Linked DNA regions of Nothobranchius furzeri. The protein of the gene in region 1 purifies or fractionates together with the protein of each later gene. This does not show direct contact. Links are inferred from orthologs where the notes say so. Each region holds a gene or a part of one and is shown on either strand. Other genes may lie near its edges.

Evidence for each region.
Region 2: the proteins of dlgap5 (region 1) and kpnb1 purify together in Homo sapiens (affinity purification with mass spectrometry; 4 studies listed by BioGRID and IntAct, with this or other methods). This does not show direct contact. The link is inferred for Nothobranchius furzeri from reciprocal best matches to the Homo sapiens genes DLGAP5 and KPNB1.

Annotation. Positions count from the first base shown.
Region 1 is NC_091756.1:29,320,208-29,324,758, forward strand, and holds the start of dlgap5 (disks large-associated protein 5), read right to left. Parts: upstream 3,104-4,551; 5' UTR 2,956-3,103; intron 2,070-2,955; 5' UTR 2,058-2,069; coding exon 1,823-2,057; intron 1,706-1,822; coding exon 1,518-1,705; intron 1,396-1,517; coding exon 1,321-1,395; intron 1,214-1,320; coding exon 1,174-1,213; intron 1,073-1,173; coding exon 1,001-1,072; intron 922-1,000; coding exon 826-921; intron 700-825; coding exon 625-699; intron 540-624; coding exon 505-539; intron 1-504. UniProt on the Homo sapiens protein: Potential cell cycle regulator that may play a role in carcinogenesis of cancer cells. Mitotic phosphoprotein regulated by the ubiquitin-proteasome pathway.
Region 2 is NC_091745.1:29,728,625-29,732,443, reverse strand, and holds part of kpnb1 (importin subunit beta-1), read left to right. Parts: intron 1-1,447; coding exon 1,448-1,600; intron 1,601-1,691; coding exon 1,692-1,751; intron 1,752-1,843; coding exon 1,844-1,933; intron 1,934-2,317; coding exon 2,318-2,428; intron 2,429-2,508; coding exon 2,509-2,610; intron 2,611-2,699; coding exon 2,700-2,924; intron 2,925-3,819.

The DNA.
Region 1 (4,551 bases):
TTAAATTAGCTTTTCCAAATTTAAGGCCTTAAAAATCCTTAAAAATGACAAATAATCCTTAAATACAGTTTCCAAATGTCTTAAATTACCAAAGACCCAATAAACAGGATTCTTTTATGTCTATAAAATTTTCATGAATTTCTAGTTAGTATTCAGCATTTTTTGTGTATGATGTTGGCGTAAGCAGAACCGTACACATTCAGTTGGTTGTGAAAGGGGGCCATTTTTAGTTGAGCACATTAGCTGGTTGAGCTAGTGGGAGCTTGCACCATGGGGAAGTGCAAGTTTAATGGTAGCTGGATGGCTAATCCCACGTTTGCGACGTGGTTAGCACCGGTTCCAGGCAATAGCTGGAAAATAAAGCTTAAATTTGGTTTAAGTGGCCATAAAAAAGGTCTTAAAAAGTCTTAAATTTGGTTCCCTTAAACCTGCAGATACCCTGACTTAAGCACAGACCCTTAAAGGCTCGGGTACGCTGACTGGAACATTTACAGATGTGCTCACCTTGGAGGCTGCAGCGTTTGTGGCGATGCTCACAGCTGTGGAGATCCACAAAGTGGTTTAAGGAATGTTTCTTTAAACAGCATCAAGAGCTAGAAGGATTGTGGTAAAACATAAGGACACCTTTACAGTTCTCCACTTCACCAGCTGAGGGGGGCAGAGGTTTAACAACCGCTGTGGACCTGGTAGTTCTCATACCTGCAGGCAGAGAGAAACATTCAACACATTTACGTTTTCCCAGAAGACATCTTCATCCTACAGTTCAGTGTTTCTATGATAGTCAAGTTGAATCTGTCAAAACGCCAGACACTAAGCCGCGTGTACCTGCAGCCTTAGGTTTAGGACCGTCTTTTGTAACCAGAGTCTTGCTGGCTGATCTGGTTGATGAAGCTCGTGCAGGTCCCGCTACGACAGCATAGCCTGACACAAAGACACAGCTTGAGATGCTAACACAGTACATGGTCTGGCCGTGTCCCAGGATTCATCATCTGTTCCTTACCTGCACTAACTTTAGACTTGGCAGCAGCTGGTGCAGGTTTGACGGGGGCTGCACGTGTCCTGGTTTGTTTTCCTGTAGCAGATTTTAAATAGAAAAGTGGAAATTTAATAAAAACACCTGAGGCGTATCAATTGCATGCAAGTTTTATAAAAATAGAATTAAAGCTACTTTACCTCCGTTTACTTTAGTATTTGGGTTCTGCATTGCTAGGGGCTGTGCAAAAGTGGGCAAAAATACAGCAAATGAAGATGCATTACTAAATATTATTATGATTATTATGTAAAACACAGGAATACTAATCAGAATGTTTTCATAAACACCTTTTGTGGTTCTTGCTGCTGCTGTTTCATAGAACGCAGGACTCTTGTGTTCTGGTATAGAGCTGCATTCATCTTCTGAAAGACACGCAAATATTTTAATAATCACCGAGTAGAAATATTTAACCGTTTTGTTACTCGTCTCATCACAAAAAAAAAAACAACAAGACAAATGTGCTTCTAGTGTTTAGAACCCTCACCTCCTTAGGTCTGGACACGGCAGGTGGAACAGCAGGCAGGGAGTTGAACATGAAGGTGTCCTTCGGATGGAAGACACCAGTCTTAAATACTCCCTTACGCTCCCTCGCTCTATTTTCCTTCTCCTTCTCAAGAGCCTTCTGTTCTTTCCAGCGCTCAAGTCGTTTCAGTCGCTCCTCTTGTGCAACAGCTGTTGGAAAACGAGTGTTCGGTGAGGCACGAAACAGTGGAAAAGCTCATTTACTGAAACACAGTGTAGAAAAGGAAATCAGTGCAACTGTGCCGAGAAGCTCAAGTTGGATCATACTTGGAGCAAATTTGGCATTGTTCTGCTTCTCCCGAGTAGTTGACAAGTTGACTGTTGCAGCGGACACATTATGGGAAGAATTTTCCAGCTCAGCGAGCGGACCCAGCTGTCTGCGTGTGTTCACGGTCCGCTCTCGGTTCGCCTTTTGGGACTGGGACCTCCTGCGGGACACTTTTACCCTCAACATCGACACACTTGTGTCCCTCTGCCGAAGATGAGCAAAACGAGACTCCATGTTTTTGGGCACCTGAATAATTCACAAAACATAAATCTCAAAATAATACACAAGACATGGTCATGTCTCCCACTCATAAAGTGTTACATAAAACAAGTAGTCAATCTCAAAAGTAGCAAGATATAAATATACATCTCATAATCGAATTACAGAAAAACAACTTTTTAAGAGAAAGTGTATTCATCACACAAACTTATGAATGGATCAAGTAGTGTTCTCTCTCATGTGTGTATGATGTAATGTAAAGCGCTTTTGGAGTCCTCTGACTCTGAAAGGCACCATACAAATGCTGGTGATTCATCATTTTAAAAGACATCAACAAGTTTCAAATAAATTAAGAAAACTTTATAAAGAATTAGCTAAACATACTCGAACTAAACCTGTTTTGGTAAATGCAGAGCGCACATAAACAAATATATGACTCTTTATTGCACTAATTTCCAGTAGTTTTATTTTAGAAAAGGAGTTATAAATGTTTAATTTACTTTAATTCAAGTGATGTAGCAGTCAAAGTATTGAGAGAAGAATCATAGTCAGAGATGTTGTAGTATTGTTCCATTTAACAGATAGGCCCACACACGTTGCAATACCACTAAACAAGTGAACCCCAAAGAGAAACGCAGCCATTGTAATGATACACAAAATGAGAATGTCTCTGTAAACATACGTAGCGCTTAATCTTATTAGAGCGAAGTGTGCTGTAGGGTTTAGATTTGTAAACCTTCAACAACAAACCGAAAAACAGACTAAGTAAATCGCAATGTAATTTCTTAGAGAAACCAACGTGAACAAATAAAAACCCAAATACTTAGCTACCTAGCTAACTTCAACGCTAACTGAACAGCACATAACGCGATAATTCTCCCGGCAAAGAGTAAATAAAGAATACACGTCTCACCTTCGTTTTTTTTTTCAACAATAACGCTCGGAAACAGTATTTTAGGAAAGTTACTACAAAGCAAACGCAGACGTAGTTACAAACGGTCTGACTTTAGCACAACTAATGGCAGTTCGTATTTCAAATATCGTACAGGTTACGCTGATTGGCTGTCCTCAAGATCCATGGCGCTCTGTGATTGGTTTGTTTCCAGCGAGGAGGCTTCCTGTAGCGCGTGTTTACGTCACACGTCGTGTTTGCTTCATTAACCTTACTGAAAACGTGAGCAAAATAACATGTTATAAGAATAGCTCCAACGTCCATGTTTTTGCAATCCTGGGTTTTGGAATCACTTGTCAATTACGAATAAGAAAAAAATGAAGCGTGAACAGCAAATAAAATAATAAGGGGATATAGTAAGATAACATGAAAGACACAGAATATATGTATTTAAATGGGAGTTTGTCAAGAGGAGAGTTAGTTAAAGAGCAAAGCATTCTTCTATATTATGAAATCATCTACAAGAGGGTTATAAATTTGTTTTTTTAAATTAAGTTGTGTAGCTTTATGCTTCATAAGCTTGAAAAAAAAAGGAAATAAATAACATGAGAAGCTTTTTCTGCAGAAAGATGTCAGTTCACTGCACAGTGAAATCATACCTGTTACTTTATAGTTTCATCTGGACATAATGTATCTGTGTACCTATTTTGAACATAAATTTTTTAGCAGCATACCAACTGCCTGGTTTAAATGAATAAAACCCAAAATGCACTGTCATCTAGTGCATAACAAGGTTGCCTCTAAACTAATTATGAAGCCATTTGTTTATTTCACCAGAGTAATCTCACACTAACTGACTACTATTTTACAAAAGTACAACTGTATAATCCTGAGTAGGAGAAAATAACCGGGCGCGATGACAAGTGTTTTTAGAGCACCAGGACTGAAGAGCAGCTTAATAATTGCCTTAACAACACACGTATACAATTACAACACACAGTTCAAGATGAAAAGAACTCACATCAGCTGGCAAAGCTTAAGGTCAAAGGTCATGAATCAAAAGCAAGAAAAAGATGCGGCAAAAGTGGCATGATGGGAGAGTTCAACCACCAAAAGCTCTGCTGACCTCAAAGAACACAACGATCTGTCAAAAAACATCTTGATGAATGTCAGGATTGAACAGACAAAAGTGGACTTTTATGGAAGGTGTGTGTGTGTGCCCCATCACAGCTGGTGTAAAAATAACACTGCATTTCAGAAAATTATAACAGACACAGAGGTGGTAGTGTGATGGTCCGGGGCTGCTTTGCTGCTTCAGGACCACTTGCTGCGATGGAACCATGAATTCTCCTCTCTAGCAGAAAATCCTGAAGATTATCTGACTTTTGACCTTAAATAGGCCGTCCATGCTGGAAAACCATCCACCGTGTCTCAGCTAGAATGGGCCGTAGCAGAAGTTTGTAATGATCAGATGAAATCTCTCGTTATGCTGTGTTGAAGGACGCATTTTAAGTGTGTCCATTTTTATTCTTTTGTAATTTGTTATGCATTTTAGACACATCTGCCTGTAGTTTTAGTCTCTTGTAATAGATTAGGTCTGCTCCTCTATTTCTAATG
Region 2 (3,819 bases), on another chromosome or scaffold:
TTAGCTTATTAAAAATAGAGTTCTTTGATATATTAAAGAGAGTCCAAGAAGCTCTTGGGCTGGAAAGGAAGCAGTTTATAGCAAATGCATGAGACCTTGAGGCCATATATCATGCAGACTAGTTCTGTGTCAGAGGAGAGGGGGAATGACTTGGTGGAAAACAGTCATTTCATTCCGTTACATCTGTAATTCCTGCTCTATAATTTATCCAAATAATATTCTTACTGATGAAATTTAAAAAGATAATGAAGAGGTACAAATTATGTTTAAGTAATAATTAATATTCATAATAACTGCACTAGTAGGAATTTAGCATCTTAATTCATGATGATGTCCTGACCAGTTGTCAACAGTTAAACCTTTTTGTGTTTTTACAGAAACTCAAAAAAGGCTATTAGGCAAATATTACTAAATGTGTGAAACACTGAAAAAACCTTTTTAATGATTATTTCTGATCATAATCAGTCACTGAGTTTTTCATGCAGGCTGAACATGAAAATAGTCTCCTACACCTATCTTCTGCATTATCTATTGATAGAAAATAGACAGTGAAACTGTTAAAATCAGATCTACATCACACTGTCGCCTAACATTCATGGACTCGCCCATCTTGACTCATGACGTGGAAGGCTGTTTTAGCATCCAGGAAACTGGAGAGAATGTCTCAACTAGTAGAAGCTAACTGTTAGCATTACCAACTCCACTACACAGCAGAACTCCTCCAGGCTTGTGTTATTTGTGGAGATGGAACAACATTGCAAATCAATTGCAGGGTAAACTTTTCTAAACAAAATCTCTGAAAAGGAACAAAATATTTTTCAAGTGTTCAGAACATTTATAGAATGTAATCATGCCTTTATCAATAATGTATAAGATGTGTGTGTGATTTATGTAAATACAGACGTGAAATCAGTTCGTGTAAAATAATCGTGTAATCATGAAACTGATTATTTCTTTGACTACAATCATGCCACCAAAATTTATAATTGTTGACTCCCAAATGCCAATACGGCAACCCGATGACATCCTAATAAGCAAATTGGATGAGTGCATTTGCTCTCTGTACAAACTTTGGGTCCTACTGAAGATTTCTCATTGACAGTTTACCTTTATCTCTTACCATTTTCAAGCTACAACCCCCTGAAAAGGTCCTGTCAAAATTTAATATTTTCTTGAAAAAACTGGCACCCAAAAGGTTATTTTGAATTTTTTGCTTATCATTTGTCTTTTCTTGCACCAAGTACTGCAGCAATTTCCTAATGTTGTGATTCTCGCACAAATGACAATAAAACCCTTCTGGTTCTGATTCTAACCGCTTACAGTCAGACGCACCGGAGCTGTAACATGCAGACTCCAGACCAGATTCCAGTTCTGGTTTGTGACTGTTGCAGCCTATGCCTGACGCTGTTGTCTGTGGAGTACTCCTGACATATTTTGTTCCTTTTAGGACCCTGAGCAGCTGCAGGAAAATGCCAACCAGATCCTGACGGCCATCATCCAGGGCATGAGGAAGGAGGAACCCAGTAACAATGTGAAGCTAGCTGCTACCAATGCCCTGCTCAACTCACTGGAGTTCACCAAAGCCAACTTTGACAAGGAGGTGAGGGTCTGATGTAATAGTTGGAGTTCCCTAGTCAGGGATGTAGTTCTGATCTGCATTTGTGAATAAATGATGATGTTTGTGTTTTCAGACGGAGAGGCACTTCATCATGCAGGTGGTTTGTGAAGCCACCCAGTGTCCTGACACCAGAGTGAGTACCATGAGAACTGAATCTCTTGCTGTGAGCTGGATCGTGTTTATAGGTCTTATCCTGATCCGTCCTGTCGTCTATGATGCATGCAGGTCCGCGTGGCAGCTCTGCAGAACCTGGTGAAGATTATGTCTCTGTATTATCAGTACATGGAGACATACATGGGGCCTGCTCTGTTTGCGGTAATAAACTCACTCAATATTTGGTTCTATAGAACAAAACTTGTGGTTTTGCTTTGATTAGTTGGGACAGAAGAACACTTGAGTGTAGTTTAAGGCAAAAGTTATGAATCTGAGGTCGTTTCTTTGGGCCAAAGAGTTTAAAGTCCTGTCCTGATTTTCATCAGTCTTGGTGAGCAACAGCGTTCCACTTGGGTGATGTTCTGGTTCATCGTTTATTTATTCAGAAGACAATAGGTGTAAACAGGGATAATTCCTCGCCAGGAACAGGGCAGGGTCATAAGCCTGGACATTTCCAGTTTAATGATCTGCTGCTGCACAAAGTTCAGTAGAGCTGAATCTCTAATTTCGGTTGTTTTCCAACATGTTTTTTAAATTTTGTTTCAGATCACTATTGAGGCGATGAAGAGCGACATTGATGAGGTGGCTCTGCAGGGTATTGAGTTCTGGTCCAACGTCTGTGACGAGGAGATGGACCTGGCCATTGAGGCCTCAGAGGTCTGTTTCCAGTTTGAGGACTCGTTTCAGATGTGTAGCGCTGCGTTCACTGACTGCTCGTTTCTCCTCTTGCCCATCAGGCCTCGGAGCAGGGGCGCCCCCCCGAGCACACTAGTAAATTCTATGCTAAAGGGGCACTTCAGTACCTGGTCCCCATCCTGACTCAGACCTTGACCAAGCAGGTGCTGACCTTTCACTTCTCTGTGTGCTCCTGCTAGTTTTGTGACTTCACTGTGGTTTATGAGAAATTAAATTTTTTCAAACTCTGCAGGATGAGAACGATGACGACGATGACTGGAACCCCTGCAAGGCTGCAGGTGTGTGTCTGATGCTGCTGGCCACCTGCTGCGAGGACGACGTGGTTCCTCACGTTCTGCCCTTCATCAAAGAGAACATCAAACACCCCGACTGGCGCTACCGTGACGCCTCCGTCATGGCCTTTGGCTCAATCCTGGAGGGACCCGACCTGAACCAGCTCAAGCCCCTCGTCATTCAGGTGCAGACCTAAAGCTCTAGACCAGGGGTTGGCAACCTGTTCCCATCAAAGAACCATTATTACCCGTTTCCCACAGTAAAGAAAACACTGGGAGCCACAGCAGCCGCGGCGTTGTGGGCGGGGCCTACCCTCAGACAGCAGAGAGCTGCTCACAACAGGTGACGGCAGCCGGTACCGGTCGCTAGTGTACGTCAAAGTTATCTTTCATAAGATAATCAATAAAACAATTTATATAAAGTGGATCCAGAAGTTGTAGCCCGTCTCTGCCTACAATATTTAGATATTTTTCACCCTGTTGGTGGTTTTACTGAGCAGGTGCCACTTTTGTCGTACGTTTCTTTTTAAAACATGTTTAGACTGTTCAGAATACAAATCCAGGCTCTGTCACGTTTGATTGTTGTAATTAAGCTTTGTAGGTGGGGAAGGTCAGAAAAGGATCCGATCATTTTGTTTTTCCCTCATTTACAGTGGCAGAGATAACGGCGCAGTGTGCCTGGTGTTGATCAAGTTTAATTTGTAACAATTTTCACAAGAAAACCGTTAAAATCAGGGCTTGTGTTGGCCAGACAGTTCCCGTATTTGACCGTTTATTTTGACGGAGAAAGAATAGAAAGAATTACCCCGACGCATGCAGACGAACTGACATTTTATTCTACGCACATCGCAGATGTAGCTAAATCACTCAAGAAACGATTCCCATCTGAACATCTGAGCTGGACACCGCTCAGCGCAGCTCACTGTCAGCATGTACTACATAAGGTCCACAGCGAGCTGAAGATGTGGAGAGGGGCTTGGAGCACGTCGCAGAACCAGAGCGCATGCGGGAAGGTTCCTCCCACTGAAGCGAGACTTGTCACTTAGAAAATGTTCCCTGATTATGAAACTTTGGCTGAAT